Linked DNA regions of Rattus norvegicus. The protein of the gene in region 4 purifies or fractionates together with the protein of the main gene of each other region. This does not show direct contact. Links are inferred from orthologs where the notes say so. Each region holds a gene or a part of one and is shown on either strand. Other genes may lie near its edges.

Region 1 (5,664 bases), on a different chromosome or scaffold from region 4:
GCTTGATTCCCAGCACCCATGTCAGATGGCTCACGGACCACCTGAAACTCCAGCTCCAAGAGATCTGACACCTCACCTCTGGTCCCTGCAGACACCTATACCACGCGCACATACTCTCATTCACATAGACATACGCATAATTTTCAAAAATAACAATAAAAATACATCCTTTTAATAGTCCTTTTTTTTTTAAGTATACTGTCTACTGTTAGAAAGAGTTACTGGTTGAAGTGTTTATCCAAATCTAATTACACCAACTTGAGTGTCTGAAAACCTGAACATTTAAGTTATGGCACCTACTAGAGAATTATCAAATTTCTCCCCTAACAACAAGTTATCCAATCAGACTTTTTATACATATCTGCAGTGTGTGTGTCTGTTAGGAGTTACAGAATGTTTAAGGGTAAAACTTACTCCTGAAGTTATTAATCCACATAATCATAGGACAAGTGTACACAGAGGTAGACGATAAGTGTCATCAGAAGAAAAATGGCATTGAAGTATCCTAAGTATACAAGCTTGCCAAGTACTCTAGAGACAGAGAGGCAGGTGGATCTCTGTGAGTTCAAAGCCAGCCTGATCTATCTATATAGTGAGTACTAGAACAGCCAGGGCTATGTAGAGACCCTGTCTCTCAAAACAAAACAAAACAAAATAAAAACCTATTTACAAAAAAAAATTTCCCAAATTTTACATGGTTGTTTAAAAAGGATCTTTAACCACAAATTGCAATTTAATTCAGCATTTTAATGGCCTTCAACTGATCGGTACTATTGGCCAGGTCTTCAAGGAGTTAAAAGTTAGCTTAACTGCCCAGCCAAAATGCCTGAGTCCTAACCCAAAAACTAACTTCCCCCACTGCTGTGGGCAGTCTTCAGTTCGATTCTGAGCTCTTGATACAGATGCCCAACATGTTGTTTCTTACAGTAAAAACCTATAAAAGACACTCTAAACTAAGTAAGCAAGAAATTAAACTTGCTAAAAAATGGCCTCCCGGGCTGGAGAGATGGTTCAGTGGTTAAGAGCACTGACTGCTCTTCCTAAGGTCCTGAGTTCAAATCCCAGCAACCACATGGTGGCTCATAACCATCTGTAATGGGATCTGATGCCCTCTTCTGATGTGTCTGAAGACAGCTACAGTGTACTTATATACAATAAATAAATCTTTATTAAAAAAAAAAAGATAGCCTCCCTCCAAGCCCATAAAATAGGCAACCTTCTTACAGTCAGGCAAAAGAAATTGGCTTTTTTCACTTGGTGTTAACCAATCTAATCTGGCTTAATTCTCATACTTGCAGCAGTTAGGAACTTATAAAAAACGAAAACACTTACATTTAAGCACTCCTAGTACCCTCATCGTCCCTGAAAACAGTAAGACAGACTCTCCTAGAAAGACCCTATGTCCTCATTTACTCTGCAAATGTCCTTACAATTAGACCTTAATTTTATGAATCCTGGTTAATAGAGACATAAAAAAAAAAAAGCCTGACAGTCTGTTGCTACAAGTTAAGGACCACCCCCCCCCAGTCCCATAACTATTCATTTAATACAAAGGAGCAATTGCATGTGTGTCTTTTACTTGAACAAGACACACATCTCAGGGCCAACCTCAAGAAATAATGCGAAAAAACATCCGAGAATTCACCACTACTGATGAAACCCACTGCTGATCCAGGTAGGGCTTTTTCCTCAGAAACAGAACAGCAAGAAAAAGTCCTGTCAGGTTCAAGCTGACACTTCTAGACCGTGACTTCAAAAAGTTCATCTTTGGCAATTGCGCCTAGATGATCAACCACACATCTTCGGCAACAGGTGCCACGAAACTGCATCTCCCACGCAAAGCCAAGATCAAACTGGTTAGGACACACGGCCCCCGTGGTGTTAAACTTTTATTTGGAACTTAACCAAAGTAATTTTAAATCGGAAGGATTGACAAATTTGGTTTGGTCTAGTTCTCTGCTTTGCTCTTCAATCAGCCATTTACCAGCAACTGTTGCACGCGACCACGAGGGCTCACTCGAAGAACACAAACAAGCGCTCAGGACCCCAGGAAGCTCCCTGCTCACCGAAAAACAACCCTTCCCCCAAAACAGTTACCAAACTATATAACTAGGGGATAGGAAAGGAAGCACGTCTATGTGTGCTGCCACGATCTAAATTCTCACTTTTAAGGACCAGGTCATTTTTCTTTCAAATCTACAACAAAACGTATTAGACATGCAACGGTTTGCAAAGCAGGAGGCTTCTTTCATTGCAAAATAAATAAATAAAACACTCATACCAAAACAAGGAGAGAAAGACGAGCTCAATGGATACGTGTGTGCCAAAGTTTCAATCCTGACTGGTGGAGACACCGCACTTGGCACAAATTTTGAAGAGGAAAGAGAGGGAGGGGGGGAGAAGAAGAGCGAACGAGTGTGTGGCCTGCAAACTGCAACAATGCAATCTCCATTTTGAACAATGCGCCTCTTTCCTCTTGCAAATCTAGTTTTGTTTTGTCTTTTTCTTTTTTTTTTTTTTGTCACTAGACGCGCCGTGGCCTCCGCGTGGGGGACAGGCCGGGAGTGGGGGGAGCTAGGAAGCAGGATGCACTGCACTCGAGAGGGAGCAAGCCAGGGGGAGGGGAGGAGGTGGGGAAGGAGTCTCCAGGCGGCCTGGGTGGGTACCTGGAGTGCTGCTGTATGTACTATGGCTCCTGAAGCTGCTCTCCGTGCAGTAACTAGCGTCGTCGTCGTCGTCTTCCATCTCCTCCGGATAATCGGAGTCATCGTCGTCTTCTTCCATGTCATCTTCCTCGTCGTCCTCGGAATCCTGGGTCTCCTCGGCGTCGCCATCCTCCTCCTCCTCTTCGTCCTCCTCCGAGACCATGTCCTCCTCCTCATCGTCGTCCTCGCTCTCGTGGTCATCGTACACCACTTTGTTGACGGCACGGCGGGCCGAGGTGGTCCGGGCCAGGTGGCCGCCCCCGCCCCCCGTCCTGCCGCCCCCGCCTCCTCGGCCCCCCCGGCCCGGGCCGCTGGCGCTGCTGGCGGAGGCCGGCGGCGGCGGTGGCTGCTTCCTGCGGCCGCCCCCCCTGGGCGAGCTCAGCCGGGTCTTGGGCGCCACCTCAGCCTGGGCGGCGGCCCACCTGCCCCGACTGCTGCCGCGGTGCCGCGAGCGCAGCCCCCCGATGGGTCCGGAGGCGGGCGGCGGCGGCGGCGGCGGTGGTGGTGGCGGTGGTGGCGGCGGCGGCGGCGGCGGGGCCGGGGCGCAGCGCTCCGCAGCAGGAGCCGCGGGCTGCTTGGGCGGCCTGCCCCGCCGGCCCCTCATGTCGGAGCCGCGGCTTGAGGGGGGGGGAGCGGAAGGGGTGGGGGAGGGGCGCCGGGGGGCGCCGGGGCCGAGGGGGAGGGGAGGGCGCCGGGGCCCGGGCGGGAGGGGCGCGGCCCGGCAGCGGCGGGGTGGAGAGAGAAGGCTCAGTCCGAATTGCCGGGGCCCCGCTCCGGATCGCCTGCAGCCGCCATCTTGTTTCTTCCCTCTCGCTCGGTGACTGGGGGAACCGACAGCGGCCGCAGGCCCGGAGCGCGGTCACGTGAGCTGCGCCGCCCGACGAGCCTGGGACAGAGCGAGGCAGCGCGGCGGCCGCTAGGGGGAGCGCGGGAGCGGCGCGGCGGGGGCCGGGAGGCCCCGGAGCGCCCCTGCGCGGCTGGACGGCGGCGGCGCAGGGGCGAGATGGGTGGCGTGGGGTGTCTGTCCCCCCAGTCTGGTGTCTCCTCCTGAGAGACGACCCCCCCACCAACTGGAGCTCAGGGAGACCTCGATGCGTGTCTGTCCAAATCCGGGCCGGAAAACGAGCTTCCCCCAAGTCACTGGTTCTTTTGGGGAAATTGATGCAGAAAAAGCGGAGAGGGGGTTCTCGCGGGGAGGCGCGTCCTAGAGACTGAGGACAGTGGCCACGCAAAGCCACCCACTCAGGGACAGGAGCTGGAGATAAGTCAGTCCCAATACAGAACTCCCAAAGGCTTAGATCTAGAGGGGCCTGAAGTTGTTCCAGGATTGCACGCCTGGAGCCACACCCCCAGGGTGGTTTCACTGACTTTCCTGGAGTCCCCACCCTACCAGCCAGGGTTAAATTCCAGAGCATGGTTCCTTGCGGGCCTCCAGGCACCTTTCCCACTTCCCAGCTAGGAACTTCCACGCCTCAGCCAGAACTTGTGATAGGAAGGATGGTGTCCTGTCTATAATTGGCTTCTCAAAGTTATGTGTTTGTGTTACCTGGAAATAATGTCTACTTGACAAACTACCAGTCTTGGTTTGGCCTAGGGAGCTAGTCACCAAGATAAAATTCCAGACACATGCACCAAATGTCGCCAAATTGAGGTGGCTCAAGACAGTGTTCTCGGTGTGGCCTCTGGAAAGAAAAGAAAGGTTTTAGGAACCTATATGAGTGCTTATTGATAGATGTGAGTACCAAAAAAGTGATTTGAAGAAAAATAGTTAATATGATTCAGCCCACCAAATGGCTAATTACAATATGGTTCAGTGAATAAACCTGAAAATTGAAAACCAAGTATTAGGGTAGGAGAGATGGCTCAGTGGTTAAGAGGACTGCCTGCTCTTCCAGCGCTCCTGAGTTCAGATCCCAGCAACCATGTGGTGGTTCATAGCCATCTGTTATGAGATCTGATGCCCTCTTCTGGTGTGTCTGAAAACAGCTGTAGTGTACTCGCATACATGAAATAATAAATAAACCTTTTTTTTTTTTTAAAAAAAAAGCAAGTACTAATTGCCTACTAATTTATCACTGATTCACTTTACTTGGGTTGATCTCTGAGAGTGGTACCAAAGTAAAGAAAGTGAGCCCTATGAATTCTTTGGTAAACAAAGGCTAAAGTTTTGTTCAAAGACTACAGCTATAGGAATGCAGGCCCCAAATAGGCAGGTCTTCAGATCTTCCTTGATGATAGTGGATGTTTTATTTTATTAGGACAGGGTCTTGCTGTGCAGCCCTGGCTGGCCTAGAACTCACTATGTAGACCAGGCTGCCCTCCAGCTGGTAGAGATTCACCTGCCTCTGCCTCCTGAGTGCTGTGCAAAGGTGTACGGCACCACACACTGCGATGGTGGGTTTTTACCACAGACTCTCACTGTGAACTCCAGGCTGGCCTCAAACTTGTGATCCTCCTGCTTCAGCCTCACAAACTCTGGAATTACAGACAGGTCCCTCCATGCCTGTTCCAATCTTCTCTATTTTTCAAGAGAATATGAAGATTTTTATCTGAAACATGTTTGTATGTTTGATTTTAAATAGAGTGATCTAACCAGGCATCAAACTGGGCTGTGGGTTGACACATGTGACGCCATGAATGTGTGTGTGTGGACAGAGAGCAAACAGGACAGCTCATGGGTAAAGGTCCTTGCCATCACACCTTTTGATCTGGAGGGTATTATGGCAAACCTTTAATCCCAGCACTCAAGAGGAAAAGGGTGACATAGAGAGATCCTGTCTCAAAAATAAAAGTAAAAGAGAGATCCAGCTCCCAAAAGTTTCTCTCTGACTTCTACATACAAGCTGTGACACACATGCCCACACCCATACACAAATAAATAGTTAAGTGCCAAAAGATTTTTTTAAAGATAATAGAGACATATCTTTAAATGTTGACTTGTTTTGAGACAGGGTATCAT
Region 2 (5,142 bases), on a different chromosome or scaffold from region 4:
TTGGTTATTTCCTTCCATATTCAAAGCATTTGGATTAAAGAATTAAGACCTAATCAAGAGATCAGATGTGGCATATTCCTTTAATCTCAGCACTTGGAAAACAGAGGCAGGTTTCAGCCTGGTCTATAGACTCAGTTCCAAGAAAGCCAAGGCTTTACACAGAAACACTTTGTCTGAAAAAAAACTAAAAATGATAATAATAAAAAATAAAGTTATAAATAAAATCTAATGTGTGTATGTGTACCCAAATGTCTGAGTCTTTAATATGCTGTTGCAAGGGACAGAACAGAACTAGTTCTCATGCTAAGTGTCTGTGAGAAGGGGTGTGTGTGTGTGTGATATGAAATAGGGAACAAAAAATTTAAGACAGTGGAATCATCCTAATACATTGTATGACTGAGTGTAGGAATCAGGTTGAGGAACAGCAATAAAAATCATTGTTACCATTTCTTGTCTGTAGGTCAGATGTCAAGGAGTTTTCTTCCTGCTTTTCACTGAAACACGGGAAAAAGAGGAAACATTTAAAACAAGACGATTACAAGCCATATTGGTTTGGTCTTTCTTGTAGGAATGGACCCAGTAAACATAATGGTGGCTGGGGCTGGAGTCAAAAGTTAGAATTCAAAGTTAGGATGAATAATTCTAAAGAGAAATAATATTAGAATGAAGGGTAGGCTTAATGCAGAAAACGGGAGTACTGAGAGCTAAGTGAGCTAAGTCTCAAGGTTATGGCAGCACCACAATGAAGAGAAAAATGGTAGTCACAACCTGGTGCCCTCATTCTGTGACTCCAAGCTATGCTGGAAAGGAGAAGCTTAAGTTACCCTTATCTAAGGAAGATGGTAAGAACATGGGCTATGAAACTGCACTGCCTCTGCTCCAGACGGACACTTGCCAGTAGAGGGTAGTATAAGCCCATGCATACCAATACAATAGTTCTACCTTCCCAACATTAAGGTAGTTAAAAGGATTTCTGACTGTGTAAACAAATGCTCAATATATAGGTCTCAAGTAACTTCAGGATGTCTTCCAAAATGCCACTAAGAAGAAATAGGCAGTTGTAATCTGCTTAAGTTTAACAGATCTTATGTAATAGCCATGTGATTTTAAGAATCCTTCCCATTACCACCTTCTTTTGATTATACCCTTGCTTGCTATGGAGTCCAGGCTAGCCTAGAACTTAGGATACTCCTGCCTCTGCACAGGACTTTTTCCTTTTAGGTAAGAGAGGGAAAAGAAAAAGAAATAACTGAAATTGCTACTGAAAGGATAGCTAAATTAAGTAGAACTTCTAAACTTGTGAGAACAGGCTTTCATTCTGTTACTAGAAATGGTTAAGGCTCTAGTTTGAAGAAAAAGCAAAGCCAGTTTGCTGCCTAGTTTTTATGTCAACTTGACACAAGCTAATATTATCTAAAAGAATGGAACCTCAATTGAGGAAATGCTTTCATTAAGGTCTGGCTGTAGGACATTTTCTAGCCCATTGTGAGTGGTGCCATCCCTGAGATGGTGGTCTTAGCTTCTATAAGAAAGCAGGCTGCGTGTCTCAGAGATCTCAGGGGTTCAGGTTAGTTGAGACTGCAGGTCTTCCTATGGGGTTACTCTCCTCCTCAGCTTCTTCCAGCCATTCCTTAATTCAACCACAGGGGTCCCTGGCTTCAGTCCATTGGTTAGGTGTAAGTATCTGCATCTGTCTCAGCTAGCTGCTTTTTGGGCCACGCTAGGCTCCTGTCTGTAAATGCACCATAGATAGCATCAGTAATAATGCCAGGCCTTGGAGCTTCCCATTGCGATGGCTCCCAAGTTGGACCTGTCAGTGGACCTCCTTTCCCTCAGTCTGTTCTCCATTTTCGTCCCTGCAGTTCTTTTAGACAGGAACAATTAGCTGGTATGAGTCCCTCGACACATATACAGCAGGACTGCCTGGTTTGGCCTCAGTGCTTAGACAGTGGGGAGGCCTGGCAAAGGGGTACGGATGAGGTGAGGATGGGGACCTCTTCTTGGAGACAGGGTAGAGGGATGAGGGACTGTGGGAGGCCAGACCTGGAGGAGGATAATGACTGGACTGTAAAAAAAATAAAAGCAATTTAGACAGACAGACAGACAGAACACAAGAAGAGGTTTGGAGGTAGGGAAGGGGGAAATGACATAATGACAATCTCAAAAAATAAAACATTATTGTTAAAAAGATAAAAGCAGGCTGAGGAGCTGGAGAGTGGCTCAGTAACTGGAGTATTGGCTGCTATTCCAGAGGACCTGGGTTTAATTCCCAGCACCCATATAGTACAGCTCACATTGGTCTATCAATTCAAGGTCCAGTGGAGGCGACTCCATCACACAGACATACATGAAAGACAAACACCATGACCTCCTTCATGCACAAATAAATAATAAATATGAGGTGAAACTAAGGTTCCTTACAGTATGAGTCTATGAAAATGGACCAATGAGATTTCGTACCTGGATATAATCTCCTCCTGTAGTTTTTTTCGTTTTGGAGGCCTTCCTCTTCTTTTGCCTGTTTTTCCAGGAACATTTGAGACATTTTTTTGCCTTTCACTTTCCCTAAGAAACAGTATCATTAAATAGAAATGTTCTGGCATAGTACTAACAACTTAATATGATTTCTGTATTAGTAATTACAGTGTTTTCTGCTACAGGGATACAAAACTGGATTATGCAAAAATAGAAGAAACAGGAAATAGAGCAATTTCTTTTCCATAAGGATTATCAAAATGTGGAACCAAAATCAAAATGTGGAATCAAAGCAAACTGACATTTACTGTATTAAAAACAACCTAACACCTTCCTAAGTACTGTTATAATATCAAGTACTGTTCACAATAGTAAATAAGTCTCAGTAAACCAGAGCATCACTCTAGATGCCTCAGGAATAAGGCCGCTGCTTATTTAAGAAGCACTTAATCCAAGGCCACACTTTGCATCCTATGAGATTCTGCCATAGGGTTGTGGAGCCTGAAAGCAGATTAATAATCCTAATAGGAAAAGGCTACTCAACGACTGCTGCTTTACACAGCCTGTGACCGTGCAGGTGCTTGTCTGCAGCTTCTCCATGTTCCAATCACACTATTTTTCACCAGTCTTGTGGCAGAGGCTATAAAGTAATTCCTTTGTATTTCAGTATGAAACTCTTTACCATTCTGTTGCAGGCAACTAATTATTGCATTGGAAAAAAGGAAAGTTTTGTATTGTTCTGATACATTAACTTTCATAGCATTTTTAACAGAGCAGTTTTCACAACCCTGACATCAGAGACAGTACCTGCTCAAAGAGAGTTCTCCATTGGACCTTCCTTGTACTGGGTCTTCTTTGTACATTCGTGTCCCATAAAAGTACCAATAGAGGGCACCTGAATTGTCTTCACCTAGAGGTTCAACTCGGAGACTGTCTGCATCCAGACCCTATGCAGAAGAGGAAAGCAGATTTGAAAAAAATGAGTAAAAACAAGAAAGAGGAGCAAACTAAATAGTCAACTAAAAAAAAAAAATTTTTTTTTTTTGGTTCTTTTTTTCGGAGCTGGGGACCGAGCCCAGGGCCTTGAGCTTCCTAGGCAAGGGCTCTACCACTGAGCTAAATCCCCAACTCAACTCAAAATTTATACTCAGATACACCTCATATTTTAAAATGCCAGTGTGCTTTATGCAATTTTCTATCGTGCAGATGAAATACAAGGCAGAACAAAATGGCAAGGCATTACCTTCTATGATGAACAAGGTGAAGAAATTTTAGATGTTCCCTATACCCAACCATGGCTTCCACAGTTAGTTCACACAAAAAGAGGAATCAGACTATGGTTTAGAATTGCTATCTATGTGAACTCACGTCAAGGGAAGGACAGTCACACCAAGTACAATCAGAACTCTCAATACACTTCTCTCACTCTAAGCCAAAACAGCCTTATACTCTCAACAATCCTTCTGCCTCAGTCTCCCAAGTGCTGGCATTAGAGGCCCAACAGGTGTGAGCCCCTATCATGCAAATTGCCAACCAGATCAACCAGATGTTCTGAAAGCTTTGCTTCATGAAGTTTTGTACTATACCTTTGCCATAACCCACAGCAACTTTTAAAGAAATGTTAATTTTTAATTCATGTGTACGTATACATTCAGGTAACCATGGAGGAAAAAAAGAGGGCATTGGATCCCATGAAGCTGTAATTACAAGCAATTGTAAGCTACCCAATGTGGGTGCAAGGGAACTGAAATTGGGTCTTCTGGAAGACTAGGACTCCGAACCACTGAGCCATCTTTTCACCCAACATAGCACCTTACTTATTCCAGCTGAGATCCAGCAAAACAATTCCCAAAATACTCCAGGGCCAGATATGCACTAGCCTTCCCACTGTTACCACAAATGCTCAGCAGAGACTACATTAACTTATATGACTTTTATGTGTCTGTGCACAAAGCTCAAATAAGAACTGTTCCATTTAATCATCTGACTTAGTGGGATTAGAAATTACTTCTCACCCTGAATAGTTTGACTGTTAATTACAGAAAAAAATTCATTGCTGTTTTGTATGAAGACCTACAAGTAGGTTCTCTTATCTGAGCCAAAATTTAAAGCCATATCCCAGCACAGCTGGCATTCCTGTGGCCATGTGGGTATGGCTGTATATATAGGTGTATATATTGATTATGAGCACGAATACTACCAAGAAGAAGCTAAGCTCTTGCTTCTTGATACTTTCAATTTTCACATTCAAAATGCTGGCTTTTTACTCTCTAGAAAAGGCGCTTGCTAGACAGGTACCTTGAGAAGATCAAAGACATCATCCGCATCAAGCCGGTAATCACAGAGGCGATGCAGGATCTCCACTCGAGTACGCAGAGGAAGGTCTTGGAAACTGGCTTCTCTCAGAGGATTGGGCTTTCCTTCTTCAAGCTCCCAACGGTAGTTGATGATATCTTCCAGGTAGCTGTGGAATGTCTGAGGCCTAAATCAAATGGCCCCAAATACATATATACATCAATATAAAACAGAAGACAGAGAGAGGAAACTGATAGGTTGACAGTTTATAAAGGAACTTGAAACCTGGGCTGGAGAGAGGGCTCAGTAGTTAAGAGCGCTGATTGCTCTTCTAGGGGTATTGAGTTCAAATCCCAGCAACTACATGGTGGC
Region 3 (5,724 bases), on a different chromosome or scaffold from region 4:
AAATCTTCATTTTAAAAAGTTTAAGATTTGTGAATCTCATTTTGGTTTTTAATAATTCACTAGGAAAATTGGACTTCAAGTTGTTAACATGAGAAGTTGGGTGAAGGGTATAAGAACCACATTCCTTGTAATTTTTCTGTAAATCTAAAGTTATCCTAACCGTTTACAACATTTACTAAAACACAAACAGAAGGCCAAAGCCCACTGGATCATCTCAGTGATCATAGATTAGCTCTAATACCTTGCGGACTTTCTCTTTAAACAGTGTTAACTTCCCATAGGTAAAAGTAGGGGGCTAGGGCACAAAACAATTTTAAAGGATTTGTCTTTATGTGTACAGATGTGTTTGCCTGCATGCATGGCTCTGTACCAACCTCCTGCAGTGACAGGAGGGCAGAAAAGGGCATGTAGCTATAGAAGTTGTGAGCTGCCATGTGGGTGCTGGGAACCAAACCCTGGTCCCCTGGGAGAGCAGTCATTGCTTTTAACTGCTGAGCCATCTCTTCATAGCCTCCAAGTAGTTTCGAATGGATTAGAACAAGAGCTCTTCCATGGCCCAGATCCAGGTTAGTCTCTGTTCATTGTTTAAAGAGATGAGAAAGTCTGATGGAAAACCTTCAGAATCCAGATGCCATTATGAGATGATGTAGGTGTGATTGAGAAAAAACTGATGGATGACCTCAGAGTCTTTCCAGATGTTGAATTCTTTACTTTTAAATCCAAACCTCCATTCCCAGAAAAGGTTTCTCTTAGAATGTTATAGTTAAGCGATTGGGCAGGACAAACCCGAGACATGGAAGAGTTTGGTTTTTGTTTTGTTTGAACATGCTAGGCAAGTGCTCTGTGACTGAGCCCCTTCCAATTCTTGACAGCCTTAGAGTGGAGATTAGATGGTAGGGTAAGCCCTTCTTACACAAGCCTTGAATAACAGGTTTAACTATGGATTTGATCTCACTGAAAGCAAAGGTATATTCTAGGAAGATCTACTTGGCATATAGTTATACATTTGAAACTGAGTTCAAAGGAAATCACAGGATTATAAATGGGACTTGAGTAGGTCTAGCACTGTGCTTATGGGAATTAAACAATGTTTCTGCTGTGAAGGAAAAAGCCTATAAACCAAAGGACCACTGGGGTTCTTTGTGAATATGACTTGAGAACTGTGTGTACTGGAGATACAGAGCTGTGGTTGAGAGCTAATAGAGGCAACATCTATGGATAGGAATTGATACTTGAAAGCACTTAGAACAATGCTAGACACTGGAAGAGCTTAGGAAGTGGGAGCTAGTGAGATATACAAAGTAACCAGGAGAATCTCAGGAAGAGCAGTGCCCTTAAATTGTGATTACTTATTCACCTGCTGGTAACCCAAGAAGACACAGGACTCTGTATGTGTGCTGAGGTTAGGGGGTAAAAGAGGGGTGTCTTGGTGAGTCCTTTCCAAAAGTACATTGTGTGGGTCATCATTTAAACAAGAATTTATTTGTAGAAAGCATTAAAATCTTCTCAACAGTCTCCAGTCACTTTCAACAAACTCTTCCCTGTATTTCCCTGACTAGTTAACAGTGTTCAACTATATTACATTACCTGTCAGCCTCATGTGCACAACTAAGACAGAGAAAGTGCTTGGAGCACTAAATGGGGAAAAGAAAGGCCAACAGGCACGCTCAAAGCTGCAGCAGTGGTGCCACATTCCTGAGCACCGTTTCTCTCACCTTCAGGGTCAGAGGTGCTTCTCAAGTCTCTTTAAAAGACAGGAGATGAGGAAACAATCTGAGGACCTTGCACTTTATCAGAGTCCCTAGACTAGAAGATGAAATGAATAAGAGGAGGAGAAAGCAGGGCTGGGAAGCAGAGGCGGGAGAGATGGAGACAGAAAGGCTGTGCCTGGAGGAGATAAAGTCTCTGGAACTTGCTATGAGTTCAGGGGATAAAAAGCAGCAGCCATCATCTGAGAGGTGGACTAGAGAAGAGACAATCTGGGATTTTATACCTTCCAAGAGGTGGCACTAGGTTCTACAGTGGCAGGCACTGAGTTACCGCCAAGTTTAAGCCACCTGCTTTTAAGAATTGGCACCCTTGGGGTTGAGGATTTAGCTCAGTGGTTGAGCGCTTGCCTAGCAAGGCCCTGAGTTCAATCCTCATCTCTGGGGGGGTGGGGGTGGGGAGTTGGCACCCTTTTTTGACAGATTCTAACCAACACTCAGAATTTAAGAGTATATGTCTTAGGAGTGGAGCCACACCAGAGCACTGGGCATCTACAGTCACTACAGGACTACAAAGCTAAGTGTAGAAAGCCAGAAGCCAAGCAATGCTACCATCGAGTGAGGAGATTTCCTTATTCTCTCACAGCTTTTTAGTCATTTCCTAAAGAGCAACCATTCTGAGCATTAATATCTATTGTCAATTACTGTACAGTCAAACAGGGTGACCATGGTCCAAGCCCCATTTCCCCCTGACCGGTTAGCAACTCTGCAACTTGGAACGCAGCAAGAAACATGTTATTACTTTTTTGGAGGAGCAGGGAAATAGGATCAAAAACTAGCTAGCTATACACTTTAAGTAAACAAGCAATACCAAACTATGTAGTCATTCGGAATCCCTTACACTAATAAGGCATAACCTGCAGACTGATGAAGCAAAGCTGGTTTCTGTAACTCAGACGCTCTGAGTTTGGGAAGAGCTAGCTAGCTTTGATCTTTCTGGTCAGTTTTTATTTTGATCTCAGGCACCGTTGCGGAAGATGGCTCTGCCTTGCAGGGAGAGGCTTCACATAAACACATCTCAGTATCTGAGGGTCCCTTCCACCGTGTCAGAGTCTGCCCACTCTCTCCAGTCAGTTGTCTACCTCCTCCTCTTCGTTCTGTTCTTCCTCATCCAGTCTTTCTTCATCTTCATCCTCCTCCTCTCTGCTTTTGTCCTGCTCTTCGCAATCTTTTTTGTCTTTGTCCTTCTTCTTTTGCTCTGAGGCTTCCTTCTTGCCTTTCTGCTCCCGCCTGTATGCTGTAAGGAAGCAGGGGATTATTGTTTAATTAGACAAACCGAGTGAGGCACCAGAGGAATAAACAGGCCCATATCACATATTCGAAATGGTACCAACTCAACAGAGTGGAATCATGACCAGTCCTGGACCAGTGAATGGGACCTAATGGCAGTAGTATTGAAATCAGGTGATCAGGGAACAAAGGATGAACATCTTTCACGTGGTTTAAGAAGCAGAAGAGCACATGGATACCTTCTAGCGCTTCTTTCAATGGCGTTACGAACCGTTGGAACTCCATCTCTTCCATGGCTGACAGTACATCACTGGCATTGAGAGTCTTGCGCTTTCCTTTCATTGCAAAGTTATTGGCACTGGAAGAAAGAGCAAAGCCCTTCAGAAGCTTGTCAAAGTGGTGGGGACATGAGACAGCCAGAGATGGGGTGGGAAAAGCCACATTTATCTTAGATGAATGGGTTTTTGTATGGCACAGCTCAATTCATCCCTTCCCCGTACAAAGGGCTACGACAACCGTCTTGTTTAACCTGCCTCAGAATTTGTGAGGCTGCAGGAGAGCTGTGAGTCGCTCTCTAGTGAAGCAGGGAACTGGGGCCTGTGGGTTCCAGGACACGAACGCAGGGTTAGGATCCCGCTGCGCCTCCCTTCCGCCTCTGCTCGGCTTACCAGGATGTGGCATACAAAACGAAAACACTGGCCGCGCGGGAGATGGCGCTTCGGGCCTCCTTGGAGATGTTGACACCGTCCGGTAGCTGCAGGGAGAGTGGAGATGAACACACATGCGGATTCTGTTAACTTTCTGGCACACGTCCGCCCTCGACCCATTCTCCAGCCCGAGCAGCTCACCGCCTCCTTGATGATCCTGGTAATGACGGCGTTGGGCAGATTTAGGTCCTCAGGCCTCTCCGCCATTGCCTCCGCTTGGGCCCTACCCTCCTCCTCAGGTCTCCTCGCAGACAGTTCTGGTGTCTGGACTTCCCGCGTCGCTAAGATATGACCCTCGGAAGCTTCCGTCCTACCCTACGTTGCCAGTGTCCCACAGTGCTTTGCGCACCACAACTTCTCTGCTACATCAACCCCGCCACAAGTCTCCAGGGTAGCCCAGCTTTTCCATGTCGCAGTTGTTTCGGACCATTGAGGTTTCCATCCGCTTCCACCGCATCCTGGACGTTCCACTCCAGGCTTGTTTCTTACTACACATCGCTGGAGCTTTCGGACTAAACTAAGTTTGACTCTCTGAGGTTTCCGTCTATTCTCCCATCGTGCCGTGCGCCGCTGCTAGGCAACCGTGCGGCCTGGTGCTTAGTTTGGAAGGGGTAGGCGTAGACTGAGCCCGACAAGGCAGGACTGGGACCGACGAGTGGGCGGGGCCTCTAGAAGAAGTGGGCGGGGCCAAGACTTGGGAGTGCTTTCGCAATCTCAGTATTGTCCGCCCCCAGAGGCTCAGAACACAGCCCTTTGGAATCTGCTTTGATCCCGCGAAATCGCGGACTACGGACACTTGAGTGGCCCTCCCCATCCCTTTTTTTCCGGAACTCAGTGTAGCTTTTCATTCAATTCTACTACACCGAATTATGCATTAGAATTGTCCATCTTTAATTTCATTCCCTTCACAACTTTGTGATAATTGTATTAAGAATAACTTTTATCTAAAATTTCGTTTAAAAAAATGCTATTATTCGGACAGCAGTAACCTGGGCAATCTCAAAAGCTTGATGAGACTTCGCAGCTCAATTCGGACTGGTTCGGTAATGAAAGGGCGAAAAGCATTTGACTGTAAGAATAATGCATTGTATTCTCATTCAAAAACCCGTGTTAAAGTATTTTTTAATTCATTATGTGAGTCATCTTACATTTTTCTTATCAAAATCATCATCACTTGAGTTAACATTTACAATGTCGCTTTAAGTTGTATAATTTTCATATTAAGCACAGAAAAAAAAATACTCCTGAGAACTAATGCTTATTTCCTTCTTAATTTTTCTTTCTTTTTTTTTTTCTTGAAACATGTTCCAAGACTTTTTCCTATTTTTAATGGAGACGTTACAAAGAAACATTTTCCTATTTGGAGAAACAAAACAAAACGATCCAACAGTTTTAGGGTGATGATGCTAAGGGATTGTTCTGATGGAGAGAATTCTGCACTTAGAACAGGCCTGTCTTAAGGATGTCATAAGCCTTAGTTCCAGCCACCATTTAGCTAGAACTGGTGCTGTCAGGCATTTTGATCTAGGAGAAAAGCCAGAAATCTAACATTATAGGACCATTTCAGTTTTTAAGACATGGGCTAAAAGTGCCTGCCAAGATAAATTACTCCTAGGCCAGGTGCAGCCCAGGCCACTAGATCCCTATCTCTAATTTAAATTAGAAGCTGTTTAGAACCAAGTGTTTGTTTATTGCTATTCTCTATGTCCCAAACAGGTCCTCTCATATATTTGACAGTCAATAAGTATAAATAGAAGAAGAAAAGGACACTGTCCTTAAAAGTTAAAAAGGGGGGGTTGGGGATTTGGCTCAGAGGTAGAGCGCTTGCCTAGCAACCAAGGCCCTGGGTTCGGTCCCCAGCTCCGGAAAAAAAAAAAGTTAAAAAGGGGACAGGGTGAGATGGCTCAGTGAGCTGTGTAGTCTCTGGGTTCATTACAGGATGGCCTTCCTGTTAACCTCCTTGTGTGTACCATGGCACCCATGCCCACCAAATAAAGGGATAAAATATAATTATATATTAG
Region 4 (5,142 bases):
TGACATTATCTACATTGAAAAATTCTTCCATTTTAGAGGATATCAAGAAAGGTGTGTTAGCATATGATGGTTTGCATAAGTAATTAATATTCATTTATGCATCCTCCAAGTTACTCATTCAACACACACATACACGCACTAGCACCTCCATCACCCACGCACACACACACACACATGCACTCATGCATATACCTTCGTACATAAAAATACAATATACTCATGAACACCCAATTTTGTACAATTCTTCTCCTACCAATCAATCAAATAAGCCCACTCAATTCTCCCCAGCCTCTGGCATGACGATGAAAAACAATTAAACAGTCCTGTCATCTCCCCGAAGTCTGAAGAAAATTCTTCAGAAAGGCTGGGAGTGTGTGCAGAACCAGCATAGAACACTTGCCTGGACTTTAAGGCCTTGGGTTTGCTCCATAGAACTTGAGAGTAGAAGTAAGAAAATTCTTCAGAAAATTTTACTGTCTGTGTCTTTCACACTTATTTCCTGGTACTGGTTTAGTGACAATTTTAAGGGAACATCTATCATTGCACTAAAACCCCAGCTCAGAGTATCTTTCTTTTTCTCTCCTGCTTTCTTTCTCTCATTCCTCCCTTTTTTATTTCAGAGTCGTAAGTAGAACCTCAGACCCTTGCTAGGACACCTTAGTCTATATTTTTAAAACATGATCTCGCTACACCCAGGCTGACCACAAACATGCTATACAGACTAGGCTGCCATCAACCCCATGATTCTCCTACCTCGGACTCCTTACGCCGTGATCACAGGCATGCATCTCCATGCCTGGCTACTTGATATCTTTTACCCACACCCATGCCACGTCCCTTTACATTCTTTTCACTCAACTTTCATGAAAATCTATCTCTCCCATGGTCTATTGTTCCCCCAAAGCTCTCATTGTTTCCAACCATAAGGTCAATAGTACTGCCAGGCTACTGTTTATGAATTCAATGTTATATGAAATAAAATCCAGACAAAATTAACTTCTAAATTCCCTTTCAGGTTTCCATGAAAGAAAATAGAGTAGGTAGGTGTTCTCTAGTTACAACTGATTTTCTTTAAGCATTAGCTAGTACTCTAAATAAACTAAAAGCTATATGTTATAATGATTAAACTTTGATTTATTTATGAGTTTTTAACGTTTTCTTTTGGTTTTTGCTAATAAACACAGAATTTCAGTAGTTATCTCAAATATCTGGCCAGGAAGGGAACAAAGAAACTATACAATGACTTTTTAACATTGCATTCTTTTTATGGAAAATTCTTTCAAACTGTAAATAGCTAATATTCAGACCAAATTTGAAAGGTCAGGCTATTTGAAATTTAACTACACATAGAAAACAGATAGATTAACCTATTTTAATGAGATTTCTTTCCAGAAGCCTGGCAGTTTAGGTATGCTCTGACACAGGAATTAATAATAACTCCACATGCTTCTCTACAGCTATTCTGATTCTGATTGAGGTTAAAGACACAGCTGAGTAGGAGAGGGAAATGATTCAAGGGCCACTGAACAGATTTAGCCAAGAAATCTTTTTAGATCTATTCTGAATTGCCTTAAGTTGATAAGGCCCCCCGCTACCTGATTTAATTCCTTGAGGGCAGTTGAGTCTCTAAATGTGCCTGATAAGAACTCCATACTTCAAAGATGACGTGCAATGACTAATCCAAACTGCTAAAGCAGAAGCCGCAGGACAAGACTTTTAAAAGACCAGATCAGTGAAATGAGAGAATAGAAAACCCATGCAGTACCCACTTTTGTTTATGCTTTACTTGGCAAACTTAGTTGTCTCCTAGCCAATCATATCCTATCTTTACTTACATCTCATTCACAAAAACATTTTGACATCTCTGAACAAAGACGCAACTAAATTAATGACAAAGAAACAGGGTTTGGAGAGATGGCTCAGCGGTTAAGAGCACTGACTGCTCTTCCAGGGGTCCTGAGATCAATTCCCAGCAACCACATGGTGGCTCACAACCATCCGTAATGGGATCTGATGCCCTCTTCTGGTGTGTCTGAAGACAGCTACAGTGTGCTCATATACATCAAATAAATAACCTATAGATTAACCTATTTTAATGAGATTTCTTTCCAGAAGCCTGACAGTTTGGAGAGATGGCTCAGTGGTTAAGAGCACTTGCTGCTCTTCTAGAGGGGCCAAAATTTGGTTCTTTGCACCCACATAAGACAGCTCACAACCTGTAACTCCAGCTCTATAGGCACTTGTTTATACACAGGTCCCATCCACATGGACACAAACTCACATATAAAAAGAAAGAAATCTTTTGTCAAAAGATATGTATACGTTTAAAATTAAAGTATGATGTTTGAAGTGACATACAAACCTGAATACTCCATGACCTCCTCAGGGGACTTGCCCTCTACCTCTCGAGCTACATTGTCAATGTCATCTCTACCATACTTCTCATTAGCCTTAATAAACTGGTTAAAATCTCTCTTAGTCCAGTTTGTGAAACCCTAAGAATAAAAATTTAAACATCATCAGTAGATGGCAAATTAATAAATTCACTTACGATCCCACTTATCTCTGTACAATGTCGCATGAAAAGCAGTTTAAAATACTTAACATGTGCCCTTTTATAAAGTTCATTTCTTTAATGTCAAACCAAAAGCTGAGTTTGAGCTGCTACAGAAGTAACTGCTTTTTTTATTTTAAAGAAAATGTACTTTTCAGGTACTTTATCTTGATTTATGATCCTAAGACATTGCGTAGTCTTAATTCCATATTTCTCTGATGCCCACAACATTAAAATACAATTCTAATATAAATTTTAACATAAATGCTTGAATTCTGATATCTCAGTGTTTCGATGGCTTTTCCCACAGATCTGGTCTCATGTAAATTAAGAGAGAGAGAGAGAGAGAGAGAGGTAGATGTGGATGTATTGAATTGAAAGAACACTGAAAAAGATTTTTAAAAATTAAAAAAAAAAAAGAAAGAACACTGAAAGAAAATCCAAAAAGAAAGGAAGACATTCTTTCAATCATTCATGACGAAAATGAGTAAATAATTTCTGCTCAAAATTGTACTCATAAGGACCAGCAAATGGAACAGCAGTTGAAATTGCTTGCCATACCAGCCTGAAAACCTGAGTTCAAGCCCCGGATCCTACTGTAGAAGCAAAGAACTGATTCTCAAAAGTTGTCCTATGGCCTTTCCATAGATGTTAAACATGCACACGCCTCTTTTAATAATAATAAATAACATGATTTTTAAAGACTATATTCATAAATAGGACCTCTGTAAATATAGTACTCAAGCATCTGAACTTTTTTACTAAAATATGTAACGGCCAGTGTTTTAGGTCACTTTGCAATTTTATTATTCCATCAATGATATTGTAGGTCAGTTGGCAGGAACCTTGCCTAACATGGGCGAACCCCTGTGTTCAATTCAGAGCATCACATAAAACAGACATGGTGGCTGGCACATGCCCCTTTATTCCAACAGGCAGGATATGAAGTCAGGAGGATCAGAAGTTCAAGGTTATCCTCAAGTACAGAGTGAATTCAAGGCCATTGTGGGAAACATGAAACTCAAGAAAACTTAAGCATTAAATTTGTAGCATCGGAAAAAGATGGCTTAAATTCAACTCAGAAGGACAAAAAACTTGATTATGCTTCTAATTATAAACTCAATTATCTCAATTGAGATTACATACTCACATTATACTGTATATTCAGAATATCTTATAAGCAGTGTAGCATTCAAAGGGCACAACTTTATTTTTGTGCTCGGGAAATAAGTTTTGAAATTAAAATAAAAGCAAACATTAATATTTAAATGTTTTATTCTGTGGTTGTTCTTAAAACTCGGCCAACTGCAACTGTATTTCATGCTAAATTGTGGTGACTTACAGGCATTTGTTCAAAAACTTATGAAAGTATTTTGTCAAAATTCATTCAATAAAATTATGATATTAAAAGAAAAAGCCCTGTATCAACATATAAATACAAAAAACTCTTATTTTACTTTTAATTAACTCTTATTCCTGAGACACAGTGTGATACTGTAAAGCCCATTCTACAACTTCTTTATACATCACCTCAAGAATTAATCCTTCCTTTTTGTGAAAAACATTTCAAACTATCAGCTAACAACTACGGTGGACAATTTTCTACTACTGTGCCTTGAACATTGTTCCAAAAATTGTTCAAGAAATAAATTTAGCTGGCTAAGACAATGTCATAAGTTCACATTTTGTGTATCTTACCAGAAATCATTTCAGAAGTGTGATAAAAAAATTTTTAAAGCAAAACTTACTTGAAAGCTTTAAGGTGGAAACTTTCCCTATTTAATTACATGATGATGACATGAAAATGCTTCAGGAATTTCTCATTATTGTATTTACATTCTTTCTTGGGAACTCTTAACTTCTTTCAAAAGGAATTTTTCATAAACAAAAAAAGTTGTGTAGTACAGTTTCAGGGAGCAAGTCAATCAAAAAAATTAATTTTTAGGTATATGTTGGAAATTATTATTTAAGAAAATTCAAATCTGGATTCACTAGCATTATTATAATTGGTAAAAGGCACGTCTTATTTTTTATAATTGACACTTTTGTTTTCCATGTATATATTCAACCAATATTTATAGAGAGCATCTTCTACAAAGGGAATTTTCTAAAAAATAAAAATAAAGATATGTGGTAAAATGTGTGTTCATGGGTATGTCAGATCAGACAACTGTATACACTAAAAGTGGGTATTTATTCTTTTTTCTATTGATTGACTAAAAGTAGTTCAGCCACTTAAAAGAGTTTACTTGTGTGAGAAGTTTATCTTTCTCTTCACTCTCTTGTGGTGTAAGAGGTTCTGCTCCATCAATCTTTTTTTGCTCTTCTCTTTGAGCTATAGCTGGGTTGGGGAGCTCAGGATTCCTTGGGACCTAGGATCCAGAAAGAAATGAATAAATCTATGAGAAAAATTAATCAGAAAGAGTATACATAGACATATTAAACTGGAGAGTTTTCTCAACAGTAAACAGTAGAACCTCAGAGGCAGAGGCACACAGTCTTCTCTACATGTCTACCACTATGGTTTTATCATAATTAAAATCATTCTTATATTTCATGGTATACTATTTGAAAATTGCAGTCCATTC

What was found.
Region 1: the proteins of Smarca1 (region 4) and Bptf purify together in Homo sapiens (affinity purification with mass spectrometry; 4 studies listed by BioGRID and IntAct, with this or other methods). This does not show direct contact. The link is inferred for Rattus norvegicus from reciprocal best matches to the Homo sapiens genes SMARCA1 and BPTF.
Region 2: the proteins of Smarca1 (region 4) and Cecr2 purify together in Homo sapiens (affinity purification with mass spectrometry; 3 studies listed by BioGRID and IntAct, with this or other methods). This does not show direct contact. The link is inferred for Rattus norvegicus from reciprocal best matches to the Homo sapiens genes SMARCA1 and CECR2.
Region 3: the proteins of Smarca1 (region 4) and Pole3 purify together in Homo sapiens (affinity purification with mass spectrometry; 3 studies listed by BioGRID and IntAct, with this or other methods). This does not show direct contact. The link is inferred for Rattus norvegicus from reciprocal best matches to the Homo sapiens genes SMARCA1 and POLE3.

The regions. Positions count from the first base shown.
Region 1 is NC_086028.1:92,578,886-92,584,549, forward strand, and holds the start of Bptf (bromodomain PHD finger transcription factor), read right to left. Parts: upstream 3,529-5,664; 5' UTR 3,310-3,528; coding exon 2,667-3,309; intron 1-2,666. UniProt on the Homo sapiens protein: Regulatory subunit of the ATP-dependent NURF-1 and NURF-5 ISWI chromatin remodeling complexes, which form ordered nucleosome arrays on chromatin and facilitate access to DNA during DNA-templated processes such as DNA replication, transcription, and repair.
Region 2 is NC_086022.1:155,628,208-155,633,349, reverse strand, and holds part of Cecr2 (cat eye syndrome critical region protein 2), read right to left. Parts: intron 4,958-5,142; coding exon 4,774-4,957; intron 3,423-4,773; coding exon 3,283-3,422; intron 2,566-3,282; coding exon 2,461-2,565; intron 495-2,460; coding exon 445-494; intron 1-444. UniProt on the Homo sapiens protein: Regulatory subunit of the ATP-dependent CERF-1 and CERF-5 ISWI chromatin remodeling complexes, which form ordered nucleosome arrays on chromatin and facilitate access to DNA during DNA-templated processes such as DNA replication, transcription, and repair.
Region 3 is NC_086023.1:80,988,820-80,994,543, forward strand, and holds Pole3 (DNA polymerase epsilon subunit 3), read right to left. Parts: upstream 3,924-5,724; 5' UTR 3,911-3,923; coding exon 3,845-3,910; intron 3,751-3,844; coding exon 3,665-3,750; intron 3,355-3,664; coding exon 3,236-3,354; intron 3,004-3,235; coding exon 2,837-3,003; 3' UTR 689-2,836; downstream 1-688. Other genes in the region: C5h9orf43 (uncharacterized protein C9orf43 homolog), read left to right, coding at 4,714-4,774. UniProt on the Homo sapiens protein: Accessory component of the DNA polymerase epsilon complex. Participates in DNA repair and in chromosomal DNA replication.
Region 4 is NC_086039.1:131,888,066-131,893,207, forward strand, and holds part of Smarca1 (probable global transcription activator SNF2L1), read right to left. Parts: intron 4,927-5,142; coding exon 4,804-4,926; intron 2,496-4,803; coding exon 2,363-2,495; intron 1-2,362.